3 linked regions of the Drosophila melanogaster genome follow. The protein of the gene in region 2 purifies or fractionates together with the protein of the main gene of each other region. This does not show direct contact. Each region holds a gene or a part of one and is shown on either strand. Other genes may lie near its edges.

Region 1 (7,178 bases), 7.1 Mb from region 2:
CATCCCTGGTCTATCGGTCTATCTTTGGACCCGATGACGCAGCCTTATCAGGGGCTATGGCCCCATCCCGCTCCGCTGCACCTGATCAGTATCTTTATCGACGTCTGCAGGTGGCTATTAAGTTGTCGCCGTCGAGGCGCCAAACGTCCCCCAAGAACAGCAGATTCATGATGGGAACTGGGCTGGATGGCGTGCCAAGTGAATCCTTGGCGCCCGTTATTGGCATGGGGATGTTGACTGGATATGTGGATATATGGAATGGACATGTGTACAGTGGCCAGTGCAGCAGATTGATTGGCAGTCTCTATTTTTAGCCAGACGATCTTGATTGATTGCCGGCTCCAAAGAGAAGGAGGAGTGCTACTTTATCTGCGAGCTGCGCTTGTCAAGCCTTGATTATGTAATGAGTGAAGCTGGCCGAGATGGACGCTCTACGCAGAGATACTGAGATACTGTATCCATAATGAGCCCGTTGAACTTGAGCACATAGATATCGAGATAGATAGATAGATGGATGGATGGATGGATGGATGGATGACTGGTATGTGCGATCGTGCAGAGATGTATCCACAATTCCTTAACGTCAGCGGTATAATTGTCACACGACCTAAACTGGCCCCTTGATCATTGATTGAGCGTAATAATAAAATTCAATTGGACTGCCTGCTTCGCTCTTGACTGACCCCGGACCAAAGACCACGGAACACGGAGAGAGCACCCAATAGTATAGCATATATATGTAGTATATACTTATACCCCGAAATCGAAAACAAAAACAAGTTGGAAACATTCCATTTTAGAGTACTAGCAGCATTTGGTCTATTGAACATTGAAGCTATGTTATTGTTTACTATGCTTCCTGCAGCGATTGAGTAACTTATAGTAAATCCGTTTCCATCGGAAACATTATCTCTTTTTGGGCCCAGACAGATCGGCTGGAAATATTCCATGGAACACCCAATAAATTATGTACGAGTAGTTATCATAATTAATTGTCAGCCAGCCAGCGAATGAAGCCGTCAACATTTTTCGCACTTACTCAGGGCTGTGACTGCATGCCGATAATGCTGGTTATAATATGCGATCAAACAATTGTGCGAGTGATTGAACACATAATGCACATATAGTGGTCCCCGAGCATGAGACCATCTTATCGCCTGACAACGCACCAAAGACCAAAGACATCAATCCGTCCGAAAAGGCCACATAATACATAACATCTGGACGATCCCAGCCCCCAGATGTCCTTATGTCCATTCAATAGTTGCCCACACTTCACTCAAGTGCTCACTGATTGTGGGCAATCGTAAAAAGTGATCGTAAATTCGACTTGATTATAATTTGGCGCCAGCCATTAAACATATTTAATAGTAATACAAAAAAGAAATCAAATAAACAGAAGCTCTTATCACATATTGCTTTCAGCTGTGGTCTACATTTCGGCTAGCATGATATAGAAATGTGTACTTGGACGAGATCTATCAGTGCAATGGGATTCAACGTTTGATAACCAAGAGAAAGGCGAACTAACTGATATTTTCCGTATTTAGTGATTTCCCCAATTCCCCAGATGATTGGAAACACCAAAAAAGCTGAGTGGCAGAAATTAAAATTTCTTGGGAATTTCATGCATATTAGTATTTAAAAAAAATTGAGATTTCATGATGGCGCCACACAGGAAATAAATGATTTTAACTGATTAATAGAAATGGCTTTATAATTATAATAATAATTATTTTTACCCTTGAAGTATTTAAAATGCATAACTTGTATACCCAATATTAAAAATGTTTCTTGTCAGAAAGATAAGCCCGCCCAATTTCTCGCAGTGCATACGAATACACACATGTGTGCTGGCGATACTTTTCCTGGCTGGCTGGCATGATTTGGTCAAAGCACGATATTAAGGCAATAGGTCAATTGTTATAAATTGACATCAATGTAAAAAGCGTTCCCCGAGCAGCCAGAATCGAAGGCATTGCCACCAGAGGCACGCGCTCTCCGCTGGATTCTCGATGCTGGATGTTGGATGCTTGGTAGCTGGATTCTGGGGGAGATCGCCGATTGGGGAGATGGTGCATAACACTGATTCGATCAAGTCGGCTAATTAAATCATGCCGACTTCCATGCAAACACGCAAATTGCATTCGGAGAATGATAAATCGAATAGTTTAATCGTGGGGGTAGTCGCCGGGCAATTGCCATGATTTCAGAAAACTGATTCAAGGAATGGATTTTCCCAGAACTAAAAGGTCGCCATCGGTTGATTGGTGGAGCTTTCGCACTTTGTTACTCCAAATACTTTCGATGATTTGTGCTATATTACTAAAACGTGTTCCCGAATGTACGCCTAAACCCAGTTTCATCCCACACAGTCGCTATTAAATTTTTAATAGATTCCCAAAAACAATAAAGATAAGCGTTTTTTTTTTTTTTTTTGGAATATAAACATGAATGAGTCTAGTACTATGGATTGTAACAAAGAGATATTTCAATTCGGCTAACACAAAGATACAGTTGAATGAAGCTATTGATAAATTAAACAAACGCTTGTCCTTGTGATTGAATTCAGTTTTCGAAAACATTTTTTTTGGGGCTTTGGGCACAAAGAATCCCCTGAGTCATATTTTGTTTTGAATCGCGAATGTAAAATCGTGGCTGTAAAACAACGGAGTCAAATATCAATGAACCCGCGACAGGCGCTTATGAAATAGGCTCGAATGTTATTTCTATATTCGCAAGTGCAGATCAGTGGATCGACAGCATTTATTTATATGCATTAATTATAATTGTCAATATGTGTACATATAAAACACAATGCGACAGTGAATTGAAATTCATTGAGAGTCAGAGTCGGAAAACGTGCAGGCGCCGTTGAAAAGACGCCTTCAACAAACTGCAATTATCAATTTTGTGTACGCATTAAGTATACGTCGTATACCTCCAGTCAGCCATACGGCTAAGTACATAGGCGGAATCCTATATAAATACTTCGTAGGTGATAAGCGTTATCAGTTATCAATTGAACAAGAAGAAGATGTAGTAGAAGAAGAAGACGACGAGACTCAAGCTACGGCAGCACATCCCATAGTTGGGAATTAGCGGCAATTCAATGCTACTTCCTAATTGAAAAATTAAATCATCTGGGCGGCAATTAAGATGCGACTGCACCATCTCCAACCACATCCATCCATCTCCTTCGCAATTTGCCCAATTGAGCCATAGATAATGAGGCGGCACTGGGCTCTTTGACGTAAACAAACGACATTGTTATTGTTTTAGTATCTATGTAGTATGTATATGGCTGTAAACAAGATCTGGCCACCCGAACCGATCTGTGGAGCACATTTTTTCGTGCATTTACATAAGCGTATTGAAATTTGTGTACATTTTGCATTATTATTTTTCTCTCGGTTTTTATTGGGTTTAAGGAACCTAAATTGATAGCCGGCCGAGCGGAAAATTCTGCCTTTCTGCGGAACTTGGCTGTTGGCCTTGAACTCCCCGCCACAGTAAAGAAATTTTGATTGAATCTATAGCAGGAAAATTTCCCCAATACATCATTATACCTCGATCTACACAAATTGGCACACGCTACCAACGATATATCTGTACTGTACTTACATAAATGTATGCTATATGAAAAGGAGTGTTCCTCTTGTGAGCAATATATGGAATCTATCTATACTTGGCAAATGTAAAGTAGCGACTTTTTAGTCAGTTTCTAAAAATCTAGTGATTCAGCAAAGGAATTTGTATAGAATCTACACCACAGCTGGGAAACCCCTTATAGAGCTATTTGGCTCCTGCTCTCCAAAATTGCAAACCGAATCGATGACTCAACTCACTTTAGACTGTTCCACTGCATCCGTAGCTTGTACAAGTTGAAGTTCATATCCGTAAACGAGCGCATTTCCAGGTCGTCGAGTTGCGAGTGCGTGATCTTTAGGTCGATATTGGTGTCGGCATTGAGCTTATTGGCCAGGCTGTCCACGACGGCGTTGAAGGATTCCAACTTCTCGCAGGAGAGCTCCACATGATTCCAGGCTTTGCCCGTTTCGCAGGTGCAGGGCGAGATCTCCGGACGCACGGAACATTGCAGCGAGGCCAGGTGAAAGACGGTGTACACGAGGGAAGTCATTTTCGTAGAGTGATCTCAGTCACTCGGTGAATGCGATTTCACAATTCTTTGGCCAGAGCAATAATATATTTGTATATGTACACTTTTTCGCTATCTACGATATCTCAGTTCACAGTTCGGTTCACAGTTCACAAATCACGGTTTTCCGGCTCGAGACCAGGACACGTTGCATTCGCTCGGACGGCGGATTATCAACTGTTCGAGCAGGCAGCTCGGAAAACACGAAAGACTCGGGAAATTACCCACTAGGCGCACATATGCGTGCGTGCGGGGGTTTCCATGGCAGCTCGGTTTTCCAGCAGGATTTCGTTGATTCTCTGAACCGCTGGCATCGGATTTCAAAGCCGCACTGTCACTACTTTTGAAAGATCTTTCAAATAACACACGCGCACCGCACTTAAGGTTAAGTTCGGTCGATCGATCGATCGTATCGATCGTATCGAATCTTAACGGCTGGGATATGGAGAACTGGAGCTAGAGCTGGAGCTGCTACTCCTCCGCCTCCTCCTATCTGCTAGACCTTCTGACCCGCTTGTATATAGATCGCCGATGCTCGGAATTAATCTTCTAAAAAATTTTGTATTTGCCTGTTTGTTTGTCGAACACCGCGAGTATATCTCTATTGTATTTTTTTTTATTGATGGGCTGCTGATCACGTCTAGATTGCAGGGCGGTCTCTTTGCGACTGGGAGTGGAAATGCTAACGTTGAGGATTCGTATGTGCTGCTGCTAGCTGCTGCTGCTGCTGCTGCTGCTGCTGCCTACTGCTGTTGCTGCTGCCGGCAGCGCTGTTGCTGCTGCGGTGCGATATGTATTGCTGCTGCTGCTGCTGGTTTTACTCTCTCTCCGATCTCTTGGCGCTCCGGCGAGATGCTCGAGCGGCTTTTTGGCCAATTGGGGACTTGAGATGCGGCTATAATTGTCCACGACACTCAATTACATGTTCTGTCGGCGCCAGGCATCAATCTCCATCTATATCTGCAACTCAATCCCGATCGCGATGTGCGATGTGTTTGTGCCCCCATCGAGTGCTGATGTTTGTTGCTACTTGCTACATGCTACTTGCTTGCCCATGTTGCCGCTGGGATCTTCTTCGGAACCCAGTTCTATGTATGGGGCATCATTATATTATCGTGGACACATGTTGGTACTTACATATGTGCTGCTCTTGCTCTACGCACTCCCATCAAATTGTCCTTTTACATAGACACACATCTGGCACTCGCCTCGCTCGCTCTCAAGCTATGTTTTTAATTATGACTTTTTGGATCGTATCATATCGGAACGTATCGTATCTGATAGGATCGTTGGCAGTGTTTGAATGGAACCGGCTTGTTTAAGGATCTGCGCAGCCCAATTGAGATTGGGCCAAGTGAAAATTTTCCACTGGCGCCAGAGCGATTCCAAAACTCTGGCGGGGATGGGATCAGGCAGCAGGCAGCAGGCGACAGAGAGCAGGGAGCCGGGAGCAGGAGCCATGCATCAAAGTCCGCTGCCTTAATTTATCTCCAAGTTCTGGGACCGCATGCATAATTAAACACTGGGCGCCTTAAATGCGCTCGCCACAAATTCCGCAAATTCCACGGATTGCGCGTGCCAACGATGTCTCCTCCTCCTCGTCGTCGTCGTGGTCGTCGTCTGCAGTTCTGGCTGCAATTAATCATCGGGATCATCGGGGGGCGGCCACTGGCTGAGTGACTTCTGATGCCCAGCCAACACATCCATCTCCATTTTCCATGCAGACTGCAAGCTCCCGAGGAACCTTGGCACGATTATGTTATGTTTAGGGCCGTCGGAGAGATTAACTTAATTACATACAGCCGGGCTCACTCATTTAGAGGGATTTAAAAAATTAAATCTTATGACCGGCTTTTATTCGATCAATCCAATAATGTTTCAATTAATAATATTCCTCTCGTAATTGAACTACTTCCTGTTTTAGATCTGTTAATAAATGGGATAAACTCTTCTTTTATGAACATATTTTCCGAATTCCACAGTTTTTCCTATCAAATAATGTCCATATCTCTGGAAGGTTTTTTTAAATAAACTGTTTATAGTTTTCAAATTGTCATGATTCTTATGAATATATCTAACATAAATTTATTAGAACGCACGCAGAATAATTTTCTAAGAATTGCAGATAGTTATTTAAATTATGATCTAAACTGGCAGCTTGGAATAAACTAAAATGTTAAACTCTTTAGCACAGCAACTGCCGAGCTTAGCAGATGCCAATTGTGGTGTTACAGTGCTGAACCGCACTGTAATCAATAACTGTAGGTACGAAAATATACCTCGATTACGTAGCCAATCTATTTTTGGCGCCCAATCATCTCGAGTAAATATTTAAAGAAAAGCGGCAAATATTTATAATTATTATTTATTCATATGTTTTCTTTTCTTTACGGCTTCTTGGTATTTCTTTTTGTTTTTATTTTATTTTTTTTGCACATAAATATTCTCAACATTTTTATGTGACACATTTTCGTGTTTCGATTGCAGGCGACAACAATAACAAGAGTAGCGTAGGCTTCGGACTTCGATGACGATGAAATGGGATGGTGCGGGTTGCTGGTACGATGGGATGGTGTGGATATGCCTCCGGTAATGCTTCTGCTGAAGGCTTATCCACTTGAATAGATCTGCACATTCCGGATTGGTCGTCATCGGCCGTCCAGCAATCATGTGCCATCGGCTCACGTCAATGGCGATTTGGCGCCGGCCAAAATACTTGGCTGGAATTCGGAATTTGGCTGTCGTCACGGGTCTACGGGTCTGTTCTGATTTTGCAGCACGTCATCCGACGCGGGGACGCCACCGCCATTTGGGACAATTGAAAGCATTCCGCTCGGTGTGTGGTCTAATATCCAAGTCCATTTAATCCAATTCCAATCGCCATTGTTTCGGTTAATATGTGTGTTTATTTTGCTCATTCATGCACCGCAAAAATTGTTTTTGATTGGGCTCTGTTGCGTCTTGACCCATTGTGTGTGTGTATCTCTGTGTGTGTGTGGATAAATATCAGTTGGATATT
Region 2 (7,373 bases):
CACGTTTGACCTGCTCGAGATGACTGGGAATGTTGGAAGTCTGGCCGAGAGTCTGGGATTCTCTTCTCTACCTATTTTTGGTATCCTCCACCGACACTTGCCGGCAATTAAGTCGTTGGCCCAGCCACGATCGTTCACTCCGCCCCGGTTTCGTTTTCATTTTATCCCTTACTCGAATCCAACTTGAATCATCCGCGATCCACAGGATTCATTCTTAGAAAATTTGCTGACGATTCTTTTGGCTTTTGTTGTCACAGCAGTGGCTGCCGGCTGGGAGATCCCATTTCTGTCAGCATCGTCAGCTAATTACGCGAAATTGCCCAGATCTCCGATCTTTAGTGCGAGATATCTCAGCAAGTGTTGACTTTGTGGGCAAAATGTCTGGAATCCCAGCACCGATCACTGGATCAGATAGCACCAGCTGGTTTTTGAGATCGCCAAGCAATTGAGATGATCTCTCGATGGCTAAGAGTAGCCCCTAGGAACTGAGTAATTGTAATGGCATATTAGGGGGCGAGATCGCGTGAAAGAGTTTGCTATCGATCATGATCGCGTTTTTTAAGTGGTGCCTCTTGGCAAGCTTTCGGTTTACCAGATGTTAGGTGATCTAGTTTAGTGGGTTGTCAGTGGCGCTCAAACTTTGTGATCGCTCGTTAATGCTTGTTTGCTAATCATATTAAAAAAGCTTCATAAGTTTTAGATTTTATATACCCAAAGCCAAGTTCCAATATGCGAAAAGCCCCCGTGATAAACGCACCATTTATCCCCTCAATGACCTCATAAACAAACACCAGACAGCAACTCCTACTCGTTTATATACCCCGCCCTATCTAATCTGCATTCCAATCGAAACCCGAACCCAAACCTCCTCCATACAATGGTCAACAATTGCAGAAGTATATATCAGATGATCACACGCCGACGACGCCGATGAAGATGATGATGATATAGTGCCATATAAACCGCTCGCTTAGTTTCTTCCTTTTACACGGCCAAGGAATGCGACAGTGCAAAAAAATACAAAAAAAAAAATTAAAGAAAAGGGCCCAAAGAGCGAGTAAGAGAGAAACAGAGAGAACAAGATGGGGCCATTCAGTTTTGGTTGCTGGAAAATGATTAATAGTCATGCGGTGGTTGCCTTGAAGCAGGCGGGATGAGGGGGCGGTCAGGGGCAGTCGGCGGATGCAGTGCAGCCAGTGGAGACGCCATCGAAGTGGAGCAACCGTACACGGAAATAAAGTTAATGAAGATTCGGTGATTCGTATATTATGCACATTAAAGTGATGTTAGAATAGTTAATTGTATTCCCAAAATTATTGAGGGGCCTAAAATGAAAAATGTACAGTTAACAATATATTCAAATTTTTTAAATCAAACTATAAATATGTTTTTTTTTCAGTGAGTGAAAGCACTGCTGCTGTGCGCAGTAAACTAAAATCAGCTCTGTTGCAAATTTCTTTTGGCATAAGGCAGACAAAGATGGATAATGGATGGGAGAGAGATGCAGAATAGGAGGAAGCAAGGTGATCGTTTCTGTGTGGGAAATTTGTTGGTTGGCTCGAAAGAGTATTCAATACCTTACAGAAGGGTTGTACCAAGGATTTGGTAGTATTATTTAAGAAAATTAAGAATCTTGATGATAAAATTTCAAATTTTTGTAGAAGAAAATGCCTTTTACGTTCACTTTATTAAACAAACTATAGAATAAGTATTGAAACTATCGATAACTTTTTATGAAAATCACAATTTAAGGGTATTTTAAGTTGCGATCTACAAAGCCAATCTTCCCTCTGCATCGAGTCTCTCTTGCCCGCTCCTCTGATATTATTTTTAACGATTTAATGTTTTGCGAACTGTTTAAATTGTGCAAACAATTTCAGCTAAGTGCCTGCCTACCACTGATGATGATGGCGAGCCGGGGACGATGGTCAAGGGGGTTGGGGTTAAAGTGGGTTCGCACAGCTTTTTGATGTGGCACAGGAAGTGCAGCTTTAATGAAGCGTTTAAGTGGCAGCTGTAGTTGTTGTTTGCCATGGTTGTTGTTTGTGCAGCACGGAAGGTGTCATGCAGTTGTTGTTGCCCAATGTTTGTTGCTCTTCATGGTTCAATGGAAAGGAATGCGCCTGAAGTGTGAAGATGAGAGCGCTGGGAAATTGGCCAAAAACACTTAGACGTGACTGTTCAAAATTTTACCTTAAATATATGTACGAAATTTTTGCTTGGCAAATATGGTCTTGGGTTTTTACAGCATTTACAGTATTTAAATGACATAATTATATATTAAAATCAAACTATCTAACTAGCTACTTTATATATATATTCAACGAAGACCAACCTTAGTCAATTTGAAGAACTTCCCTACGACAATATGTTGGCCCCAAAAAGTCTACGTTTCATAAACTAGTTCACCTATCGCAAATGGAAGTTTAGCTTTATCAGACGCACAGCCTCACCAGTTAGCTGGCCTACAAAACCACGAAACTCCATCCAGAAGACCCTATAAACACCTATCGCAAAAGTAGTTCCCAGTTAAGCAATTCGAGAAGGCATGGGAAAAGAACAGGTCGGAAACTTTATCTAAATGCTGGCGCTTATCAGGCGGACAAGGCGCGAAGGGTGGGGGTCAGGTGAATGGAAAGGGAATGGAAAGAAGCGAACGAGAAGAGAGGACGCAACACAAGAATTTATGACTCACACGGTGGAAAGAGAAGCTGTGCACTGGGAAAAATTAAATGTAAAGAATAATGGCATTTTAGCTTAGCATAAATTTAAGAAATCTGTTATTAAAATTTGTCCTATTATAAATAATTTTCCATTTAAATATTTAATTGTTTTATTGTTTGAAAAGCACTGAATAACAATCACATGAACATGAATAAAATGTTAATACGTCAACATAAATTGAATTATTTATTGATTGCAATCCTACTGGACCAGAAAAACTTATTAAAATATTATTTACGGATTAGCTTTAATAATTCGAGTGCATTCGTTTTTTGATGGCCAAGGGACGGGGGTTCGAGTTGATCGGGAAGTAAAAGGTTCACATAAAAATGCCGACAGAGAATAAAAATCCTGAACTGCATAATTTAAACGATTTCAATGACACCTTGATTAATATCAAAGACAACACAAAAGGGAACTCGAGAACTGACCACTCTACCTGTTGGCCCCTCATCGCCCCCCTCCCCCACAGACATTTCCATGAAATTATGAACGAAACGCAACGCAACGCGCAATGCATTTGACCAAAAGATAAAAAATAAGGAAAACATATCGGGAGGGAAAAAAAACCAATCAGGCAACGTTGAAAACCAAAAATAAACAAAGGCAGGGCGCAGGTAGAGGACTAAAGGAGGGGCAGGGGTATGGACTGGAACAGGGGTATGGGGTGGGGCAAAAGGGCAGAGGCTGCAACAGTTTACCTGGCAACAAATCAAACAAAGAGAGACAGAGAGAGAGGGAGAGAAACTGAAGGCGACGAAGAGAGGGCAGCGCAACTTATTGCAATTAAGCGTGATTAATTCAGGATTTATACAAATTAAGTAAAACCCACAGGCGATCGAGGTCGAGGCTAGGTCTACCCCTCTCCACCCCTTATACCCCATTAAACTATGTGTAAAAGCGGTGTGACAACATTTTTGCTCTTGCACTAGGTAAAGAGCCTGTAAATGGGTTCCACAGTCCAATATCTTTAAAAGATTCGTAAACTTTGTAAAACATGGCATCTCAAAATAGAAATAATTAAGAAATCCTTAACAGTTTTAAATAACTCTTATAGCATATCCCATAAACATATAAAAGGTAATTCACGCAGTTCACGCCAACGATGCTCTACTGTATGCCCGCGCTCTTCTCATTTTATTTCCTTTTTTTGTTCATCAAAAAGGAATTTCTTGAGATTTTTCGCTGCGGCTGCTCCTGCCTATTGGACTGGTCTTGGAAACTGGAACCCTTTGCCCCCACTGGGTAGGAATGGACCGGGGGCAGAAATGGGGGCTGCGATGAGCAGGCGACGCATGCGCCAAGATCTCTGGGATGGACACGCTCTCCGCGACGGACTCTCTCTTATTTAGAGCCTGTCTTGTGCTGCTGCTTATTCGCATTTCGAGTTGATTTGCCTGGAATTTTATTTCCTTCAGGGGGCGGAGGGAGTGGAGGGAGCTCTGCAGGCGCGTTGAAGGAACAGAATGAATCACGGAATCGTCCAATTTATACACGAGTTCTCTTTGTTCCTTTGCGAATCAAACTTGTTTCTTATCTCCGGCAATTTACTATTGTTATGAAATATACGGATTCTTTTTCGGGTAATACCAATATTAGTTGCTTTGAGTTTTTAATTCCATTGGATAAATAATATGGTCTTTAAGCTTATTAAATAACTTTATTAAAGATTATAGTCCATTTTTCCATACTAACCATACTTTTCCATACTACATATATCAATGTAAGTATACATTTTAAAAGATCTGATTGCCACGATATGGATTTTCTTATCTTTTTTGCATTAAGAATGGCACTACCTCAACCATTTCGCACTTTAAACATCGCTACAAATTAAAATTTGTACTATTTGAATGACACCATATGGGAAGGCAATAAGTTATAATAAGCCTACTAAAGTACCAGAGTTCTTGAAAATATCTTTAAGTTTTTTTTTTAATATCCTTCACTTAAAGCGTATTTCAAAATTAAAAAAAAATTTTTATGATCTGAACATTTCACCCACAAGAAGTAATTATAACTTTGTTTAAAATTTAAATATTTACAATAATAAATATTTCTCGACAGGTATTTATTAAGCCATTGGTATATAATATCGGACATACCGTTACTGGGTTTTTGGGGAATTTCGATGGCATCGATTCCTCTCGCTTGGAAAATGTGTGTCACAGCACTGCAATTCGGACTGAATTGATCGATGATCGAAGACCCTGCTACGCCACCCGCCGGATTGGGGGCGGCAAGGGCGGCCACTTGGGGGGCGGGGCCATTGTCCGCTTGTAAGGTGGGCGGCAAGTGGGTGGTGAGTAGTAATAGTAGAAGAGGACTGCTGAATATCACAAGGCGGGCAGTTGTTGTTGCTGTAGCTTTTCTTCTGCAATGCAGATGTTGTTGTTGTTGCTGCTGATGTAGCATTTTGATAACTCTTTCTTTATTTTAAGGGGAAAGAGAGAGCGAGAGACAGGGCTAATTTCACCGGCGTTTGTTGTCGTTTAGTTTCGATTGGGATTCAAATCGTTTTGACTGTGTTTGTTCTTTTTGCGGTAAATAATTTTGGCAAACGCAGGCACCCACACTGAAATACGCACACTAATACACCGCTTTGTTTGCCGGCATTATTATTATTATGAAACTTATTTTTGTCGTTTGCGTTTATCAGTGCGCATTTTGCGTTCAGAAGCAATTGAAGTGCAACATGGTTGTCGGGTGTTATTAAATCGGGATTATTAACAATTAACAAATAGCGGCACACGCACTGCACATAGACGCACTCGCTCCAACACACACGCACCCGCGACGACGAAAGGCGAATTGAAAGCAAAGCGCGCAACGCAGGAAGAAGCAGCACAGCGCGTGCTCGCGAGTCGGCTATAAAATTTTGACTGAGAAGTCTCTTTGAATTTCGACTGCTTACCGTCGATTCTTTTCAGCCTGCGCTTATCGATTGGTGACCGCGGCTATCGATGTCTATCGCCTTACACCGTTTTTAGGTATGTACAGTGTCACTAGGCTATGAGAATTCCATTCTGGGAAACGTTTGTTAGAAAGTTGTGAAATTTAAAAATAAAATAACGAAAGTTTTACAAGAAATAGATTGGTCCTGTTAATACATACATACATATAAATTATTATACATATACAATTATACATACCATAAATTTTTTTTGTTTGCAAACACACGACTGTATATTTATTAATTGGTTGGTAAGCTAAATGGTTTTTGAATAATTTAATCACAAAAAGTAAAACTTCCATGTCGCGCTTATAGGCGAGATGAATGCCTATTTAATCACATTTAAAATATTTTGTGTACAAAACAAATAGTGTGGACATCTAAATTTATTCGAAATATGTGACATCGATAAAGGAAGGTCCACACTATCGAAAGCCACTATCTAGCCGCATTGTTCATCTCTAAACCAGCTGTTTTGGCGGCAACCAGTTTTGGTCTGAAGCAAAACAATGTTTATTTAAATAAAACGCAATTTAAATAACAGCCCAAGTATGGCGCATGAAAGCGCTGTGCACGAGGCGCTGAAAAAGCATTTTGGCCACTCGAAATTCAAATCGGATCTACAGGAAAAAGCCGTGAAGTGCGCTGTTAAAAGTGAATATTGGCCAAATTCTTACCCAATCTCGCAGATAATACCTCTCGTAATTCTCTTACAGAAAAGCAGGATGTGTATGTGTCGATGCCCACGGGCTCGGGTAAATCCCTGTGCTTCCAATTGCCTGGTTTGATGTCAGAGAATCAAATAACCATTGTTTTTTCTCCGCTTTTGGCTTTGATTAAAGATCAGATAGATCATTTAACCAAACTGAAAGTGCCGGCGGATTCTTTGAACTCCAAGATGAGCACCAAAGAAAGGGATCGTGTTATAATGGACTTAAAGGCCGTGAGAACCAACCTGAAGTTTCTCTACATAACCCCGGAACAGGCCGCCACCAAGTTTTTTCAAGACCTGCTGCAAACCCTCCATAAACACAATAAGCTTGCCTACTTTGCAGTCGACGAGGCGCATTGTGTTAGCCAATGGGGACATGACTTTCGACCGGACTATCTAAAGCTGGGGGAGCTGCGTTCCAAATATTCCGACGTCATCTGGTTGGCTTTGACTGCCACAGCTTCAAGGGAAGTCAAGGAGGATATATATAAGCAGTTGCGCCTCCACCAACCCGTGGCTCAATTTAGCACTCCTAGCTTCAGGAAAAACCTCTTCTATGACATTGTTTACAAGAATTCTATCGAAGATGACTTTCAGCACCTGGCAGATTTCGCCAGACACTGCTTGGGCAATCCGAAGGAGTTTAAGGATACACCCAAGCCACAAAGAGGCTGCGGAATCGTATATTGCCGGACTCGAGACCAAGTGGAGCGCATGGCGATAGGGGTAACTAAACAGGGAATCGGAGCAGTAGCCTATCACGCTGGTCTGAAAACAGGAGAACGTACTGAAGTCCAGGAAGCGTGGATGCGGGGTGATCAGCCCATTATATGTGCAACCAATAGTTTTGGAATGGGTGTGGACAAACCAAGTGTGCGCTTCGTTATCCACTGGGATGTACCCCAAAATGTGGCTGCTTATTATCAAGAATCTGGTCGCGCTGGACGCGATGGCTTGCAGTCATATTGTAGATTATACTACGGA
Region 3 (7,589 bases), on a different chromosome or scaffold from region 2:
TAAAGTAGAGAAAATCATTCATAATTAAATCTCCTGTAAGAGATTTAAGTAGTTAAACCATGTTTTTACACGATCGGCTCATTTATTTTTGATTTAGTTTACATAATCTATATCATTCGATAAAAATCAAGATTTCAATAATTTATGGTTAGCTTAACTTGTAGCACTTACCAGCATTTACAGCAATTGTTAAAAGCACAGAAGCTAGGATTCCAATCAAAGCGATATTGTATTTCATCCTGGCCATTACGCTGGGCCCCTTAGGGATAGCCTGGGAATAGCAAACGCCACAATTTGTATCACATTTTTATTTTACTACATGTATTTTTTACCTTTACCAACACTGGTCCAATTTCACTTTGTATATACTTCTTAGATTAAGAAACACACAGACCATCCGCGAATTAAACCGATTCGAATACAATGAACGTTGTCTACGAATTAAGCCGGATTACGTGAAAACACTCACTTTAAATACCTCAAATAAATCAAGAACTCACACATCTACAATTGTGCCACATAGTATTTAAGTGTATGTCTTGTAAATAAATACAAATACAGCGAAACAAGTACAGATGAAGACACATTGTGAGAGACATGCATTTAAACGATTCTTTATCACCAGCGATGGGTGCTCAGGCCAAAGCCGAGTGTATTTAATATAATCTCATTATAATCGGACTTCGACATACTCGACCCTAGCTTAGTACCTTTACCTACTCTCAATTTTCATCTAATACATAAGACAAAAATAAAATAAAGAATAATTAAATATAGATATAATTAAATAAAAATATATCGCTTTGCATAATACGTGCTCAACTTACAATGGCTGATATAAAATATAGAATATATAGAAAATGTAGACGCTATAGTACCATTTCCCGTCTTTCACCTACATTTTCTCGATATACCAGTGGAAAATGACCAGAAAAATAATAACATGAAAAAAAATCACAAAATTTTTTTTAAGTGTGGGCGTGACAGTGAGCGACGTAAAAATCGGTAGATTGTAAAATCTGATTGATAAATCTGACTGATAACAAAAATGCAAAATATCAAACATTTTTCAAAAGTGTGGGCACGGACGGACATGCCCAGATCGATTTGGTAAGAAATCCTGCTCAAGTTTATATATATATATATATACTTTACAGGGTCGTTTATGCTTGCTTCTAAACTTGGTTGTTTTGGGTGACCACCCCCTTCTGGCCATCCTACCAGACCTATTATACCCAATTAAGCATTTTAATTTACACTTCACCGCATTTTCTGGCAAGCCATATGTTACCAAAACCACCCACAGTCTCCATTAAAAATGTAACTTAAAAGCAAATATTGTTCGAATCACTCTATTACTTTAGTAGTACAAAATCCTTTCATCTACCTTTTCAATATTTTAAATATGGCTTTGGGCTAATAAAGTAATAAACAAATCGCAAATTACGTTTTCCTCTTAAAGGTGTTGAAAACTGTAAGAAATGCAAAGTATAATTGTGATTATAAATGTTGAAAACTGATATTTATATACTTGACAGTCTCAAAAGTGTGTAAACTTGGAATTTGTTGTTTATTTTCTTGTATAATTAATATTTTTAATTCGTTTTTTGATTCATAAGTAAAATAAATATTGATTAATTATATTTTAGAAAAAAATTGCGTTTAATTTAAGCAAAGAACCCTTAGTTTTTACCTTTAAAGTCAAAAATTCAACTTATTTCACAGTGTGTAAACAGTTTCTTGACAAACTGTATGTGCAAATAAGAAAACTAGTTGTAACTCTAAAGCAATTATGTTTTATGTATAGGTATTGAGAAATTCGATGTAACAATTGTTATCATTCCAAATTTAATGTGAATGCGCAAGTACACACATACATACATACATATATGCATTTGCAGAGATTGTCACTTGCAATCCATGTTTGCACACATCTGTAATGGAATTTGTTATACATTTTTATGCCCTTTTTTCATATAGATGAAAGTATGCTTACAAATGCAAGCATAGGTACATAGGTATTTAAAATATGCATACACATATTTACACATGTATATTTATTTGATTTTGAACAGATGTATAAAATATGTTTATATGAAAGTTCGTTCCTGAATTGCAGTTAACGACTGATAAGAAACTTTAATCTGTAATTAAAAGTTGCTGGAAAGCAAAACGCTGCTCGATAAGCACGCAGAAAGGCAGCCTGCGTGATCGGACAGAAAAAATTACAGTTCGAAAGAAGTTTACTCTTGTATTGTTCCCGGTTAGTAAATAAATCATCGTAAACGGAAGTCCACGCTTTGAAGATGATCACTAATAGTGCGTTGTGACAGCAGGAGACCACTGTTTAGAAGCGTAGAATAGGATGTCAGTTACGATTGTCTGATTACAACCATTTAAATCTTTTTTCTTTAACCATTAAAAAGTTAGATTACCGTGCCCACATTTTCTGAAAAGATTCCGCTGATGAATTGAGCTCTATGGCCGTACATATGTGAAGTGATTCCAAGTCAGCTTCCTTTTAAAAGTGCACCTTTCATGATAGATTTCCCATATTTAGGGTTTTTATACCACTTGACTAAAAAGGTATTTGATTAATTAATAATTATTTTGGCTCCTAATTATGTGGCTCCTTAGAAATCGGTCATTCCCCTATCCTTTACAATACTCCTCCACCGAGCTTAATTTCGCTTCGATTGGGCCAAACAATTAGACGATTGGGTGTGGTGTTCAAAAATATGGATATCGTTATGGTACTTATTTACAAGCAACTGTGGTTTGCAATCATTTTTATATTAACGAGGAACTTTATTCAATGAAATTAATATTTATATTCAGACCTCCACGGTATTTAATGTGAATTTCTTACATGAAGATAAGAAGAGAACAGAATTTTCTTCTTGAATATGAAGTAATATGACTTCGCATTTACATTTACATTTATTAGCAAATTAGCTGAACCAAATATCACGAAAAAATAAATTGAAAGAGCCGCACCAGATTTAATTTATTTTAAAATTCCTTTGTCTGGGAGAAGAACAAAAATGCAATTTCGGATGATGTTGAAACGAGATTTATTTCATAAAGTTAACTTATAAATATTTTTAATAACAGTGGTCGAGTGAGCGAATTTATCGGAAGCCACCTACATGACAGCCATTTGTTTTGTTTGGGCCCAAAGGAAATATTATAAAAATTTGAGTTAAAAATTTGTTCAGGGGTTTATCAATTATTGATCAGTTTCTGGAAAGCGGTGGAGTCGATATCGCCGTTCATCGTCTGTTTTGCCATCCGTTCGCTTCTACACAAACTTGTCTCACTAATTATCCCTGAATGAAACTTTCCCATAAAGTTTTCCAGTGACAGCTATAGTCAAGTTCCCCGACAGTCAGATATCCCTTACTCGACAAACGGAAGAGCAAAATATTTCCTTATTTATCGGCATTTCGATAAAAAATTAAAAAAAAAAATATTAATAAATAAATCGAAATATATCATAAATGTATTCGTGACGGATTGGAAAGGTGGCGTTGGGGTACATCGCTAGGCAAAATAAATTATATAATCCATGCAAATAAAATTATTCCTCAAAAGTGTGTGGGCGTGGGAGTTTTCGGAGGGTTTGTGGGGCGTGGCCAAAATGTTATTGGTTAACCGATAGAAATTAGAAAAATATATAATAAAAAAAACAAATATTTTTGAAAGGTATGGGTGTAGCAATTTTGTGCGGTTTGTACATCTGCGTTAGAGCGGGCATGAAAGCAAACTGGCTCTGCGCGTATGTCTCTGCAGTACGCATTCTTAATCTTAACTTTTTAGCTTATAGTTCCTGAGATCTATACGCTTACAGGGAAGGTCATACAGACTGACACTTTGAGACACATCTTATATAAGAGTGCACGTGTCCGATTGTTCGTTGGAGTGACTATACCTGCTAAAATAAACAAAATGTACACGTTACCCACTTGGGATTAGTTCGATTCTAGGACTTAGGTTAGAGGTGGAGAAACATCGATGTTGGTGGACATCGATGTTTTTGGCGAATTTTTCGTTGATATTTTAAGATTTATAAATAAAAATACATAACAATATTGTTTCAACGCACGGTTTAATGTTTATGTAATAATTAAAGTCCTTTGGCATGAATTTGTTCACACTCTATTCATTTATTCTATCGTACTAAAGTAGTCTCAATCAAACAATTAGTTCTCTCAATACCTTACATTGACTTATAGTCCGCCTATAATCAGATTAGGATTATTTTCTTTGATTGCCAAGGTGCCGTTTAGGCAAAACTACATATATATGTTTTATATGGATTTAGCTTCAATATCTCGCTTAAGTGTGTCTATGGTCTTATTAGCTTTCGAGATATAAAGCGATTGTACGAAGTGAGTACTACATATTTAATAAGTTCGAATACGAGCCTATGCGCCTAGAATGATTTTCTAGCTCTCGTGTTAAGGTCACACTGCTGGGCCTCATAAATTCGATAAGCGATAGTTTTATTTCCACTTAGTATTGAAATGTCAATAATTTTATAAAAATAATTGTTTTATACATATAGTAAAATTATATGCAGGTTAAAAACAAACCAAACTATCATCATTACAGGTGTAATTTCATTAATGTTAAGGAGTGAAAATATTAAATTAAAATTTCACGACTTTGAATGTTTGATTTAATTTAAATTAGAAAAAGGTTTTTATTATTGTTGTAGGAAAACGGAATCGCGTTTTGTTAAATTTCAATGGAGTCTGTGGCCCAGCAACTTAGAGAGCTGTCGCTTCCAAAAGGTGACACAGGCTCACCGCTTGTATGTATTGGACATGGAAAAGTTGCGAAGCTAGTCGCCAAGATAAGTAATAATCAAAATGCATCAGTAAAGAGGAGATTGGATATACCTCCTAAGCCGCCGATAAAATATAATGAAATGCCTCAGGTACATACATACTTTAGTATAGCCAGTTTGTGTTATATACAAAGCAATTCATTGATTCTCCTCAAAGGCTTGTTCTTTAAGCCTTAAAGTCCGTTATTGTACCGTTTTAGAGGGTATTTCCGTCCCTCTACAAAAGCATATGTAATATACTTATATATTATTGATCGGCTGGACTGTGAGCGAACATTTGCTACCATTCAGATGACAGAAATCAAAAACAAGTACAGACTAATGGATTGTTACACGACATATCAGGAGCAATTCATTAAAAAAAACATAATCAATTTTTAAGTAAATATTGTTTTAAGTATACATATGTAAATTTAGGGGATATTCTTAACTGTACCAGTACCTAAATATCTATCGCATGCCTTTTTCACTTCGGTAAAAACCAAACTGTGCAAACTGTGGCAATATTTAGAACTTTGCACAGCGTACAAAGTCATTAAAATCTGCATGTCACATCTTAGTTTTTATTTATAATACCCTTATTATACCCTGTATTATAAAAAGTTATTATTCTGAAAAACTGTGTATAATAACGTATACTTAAGCATAAATATTTATTTATTTCAGGTTCCATCAAGCAGACAGGTTTTGTGTTCGCGGGAACCACTATATTCACAACCTCTGATTGGAGTCGAGAAAACAATGAGGGGGCATATGCCTTTTAGAAAATACCTCAGCTCTGAATTCGGAGTTGCTGATACTCAAATAAACAGAAAAACAACTTTAGATAATCCGGCAATTTTGGAACAGCAATTAGAAGCTCTTGCTTACCATAAACTTCAAATGGAAAAAAAGGGTCTTTTGGGAGTACAAGCTAAGCCAACACAACCTCTCAACAGCTTTACAAAGCCCCTTTCAAAGACTTTAAGCAAAAGCTTAATATATTCTAATTTAGGTTCTGTTCGCAAAGAAATAGAAACATTAGAACTATTAACAGACGAAACTAAGATTTCTGCGAGTACATATTCAAACGTTAATGAAACTGGTATGTTTATGTAATGCTTATATAAAAATTGTATAGTATTAATTATAAAATAATTTAAATGTCAAAGCAATGGACTCTTCTCATAGCTCAACGCAAAAGATGCTATCCGTCTGCACTAATTTTATTTCAGACAACGAAAAAGATGAGTTACCGCCACCACCTAGTCCAGAGAGCGCTGTGAGTTCTTCATACAGTGAGCTTCGTCACGCCACTTTGGAATTCAACAAACCAATTGATTATTTACAAAATAACCAGACAACGAATCCTTTACAAATATATGCAAACCAATATGCGATGCAGCATGATGCCACAGGCAAGGTACACAAAATCTGAAGTTCATTACTCTGGAGTATATTTCTGTCTGATAAACAATCTTATTCATCTAATAGAAGTGCACGACAAAAATTAAGATATGCAATCAGCAAAGCTGAAGAATAATTAAATGACTTACGAACGTAGGCAGTTTTTTCCATTGAACTTTTAGTTAACTTGAAATATGTTAATGTATATACATTTATTAAAAAAAAAAAAACAATAAACAATAACTATTTCCACATTTAGAAAGAACTTTAAACGTTAAATAGATGGATTAACAACATTTTGTGGATTATGATGTACAAATGCATCTATTTCATTCGCTAGTCCGGCAGGTTTTATTGCCTATATTGTTCCCAAAATCAGAGTGGGCATACGTGCATGGGCAGATAGACTCGGCTAGTGTTCCTTTGCAACAAAAAAATATATACGATCGAAATCGATTCTTCATATATACATGTTACATACTTTTCACCGAATCTTTTATTCCTTTTTACGATTATAACTTCCAAATGATGTATTAATTGTATATTTGGAACAAAATTTTGTTTGCATTTTATAATAATAATTTATATAATTCATAATTTTTTAATTTTCAGAGCTCTTCTACATATGATTCAATATATGAACCTATAAACCCTCGACCCTGTGTTGCAGATACGCTGCCTCGTGAAAGTTATAATCTGCATAATTCATACGTTAATGATAATAATCCAAACATTTCCCATGAATACAATATTTCGAATTCGATTGAAGCTAACCAAACACTATACATACATGGTAATGCTAGAACTACATTTTATGACGTGAACAGCATCCATAGAAATGATAAGGAAGGTCTAAAAAATTACATTTCAATACCCACCGAACCGGTTCAAGAATTGGAAAACTACGGTAAGTTAATATAATAAATTTTTATCGATTAAAATTAACGTATATTTTATACAGGTAGGTGTGTCAAATGCAATTCACGTGTACTTGGAGAAAGTAGTGGATGTACAGCAATGGATCAAATATACCACATATTTTGCTTCACATGTACAGATTGCCAAATTAACTTACAGGGAAAACCTTTCTATGCATTAGACGGCAAACCCTATTGCGAATATGATTATTTACAAACACTGGAAAAATGCTCTGTTTGCATGGAACCAATTTTAGAGAGAATTCTTAGAGCTACTGGAAAACCATATCATCCGCAATGTTTTACATGTGTTGTATGCGGAAAAAGCTTAGATGGGCTATTATTTACAGTTGATGCTACTAATCAAAACTATTGCATAACAGATTTTCATAAGTAAGTTATGTAATTTTTGCATGGTCGATTGATTAATTTCT

The links.
Region 1: the proteins of dlp (region 2) and ltl purify together in Drosophila melanogaster (affinity purification with western blotting; one study listed by BioGRID). This does not show direct contact.
Region 3: the proteins of dlp (region 2) and apolpp purify together in Drosophila melanogaster (affinity purification with western blotting; one study listed by BioGRID). This does not show direct contact.

The regions. Positions count from the first base shown.
Region 1 is NT_037436.4:7,516,648-7,523,825, reverse strand, and holds the start of ltl (larval translucida), read right to left. Parts: upstream 4,830-7,178; 5' UTR 4,142-4,829; coding exon 3,849-4,141; intron 1-3,848.
Region 2 is NT_037436.4:14,630,839-14,638,211, reverse strand, and holds the start of dlp (dally-like), read right to left. Parts: upstream 5,612-7,373; 5' UTR 5,140-5,611; coding exon 4,830-5,139; intron 1-4,829. Other genes in the region: RecQ5 helicase, read left to right, coding at 6,229-6,331, 6,394-7,373.
Region 3 is NC_004353.4:1,057,766-1,065,354, reverse strand, and holds the start of apolpp (apolipophorin), read right to left. Parts: upstream 4,387-7,589; 5' UTR 4,219-4,386; intron 2,678-4,218; exon of another isoform or gene 2,436-2,677; intron 1,111-2,435; exon of another isoform or gene 974-1,110; intron 533-973; exon of another isoform or gene 333-532; intron 272-332; 5' UTR 248-271; coding exon 172-247; intron 1-171. Other genes in the region: Zyx (zyxin), read left to right, coding at 4,751-4,942, 5,519-5,936, 6,004-6,254, 6,851-7,145, 7,200-7,548. UniProt on the Drosophila melanogaster protein: Constitutes the major component of lipophorin, which mediates transport for various types of lipids in hemolymph. Acts by forming lipoprotein particles that bind lipoproteins and lipids.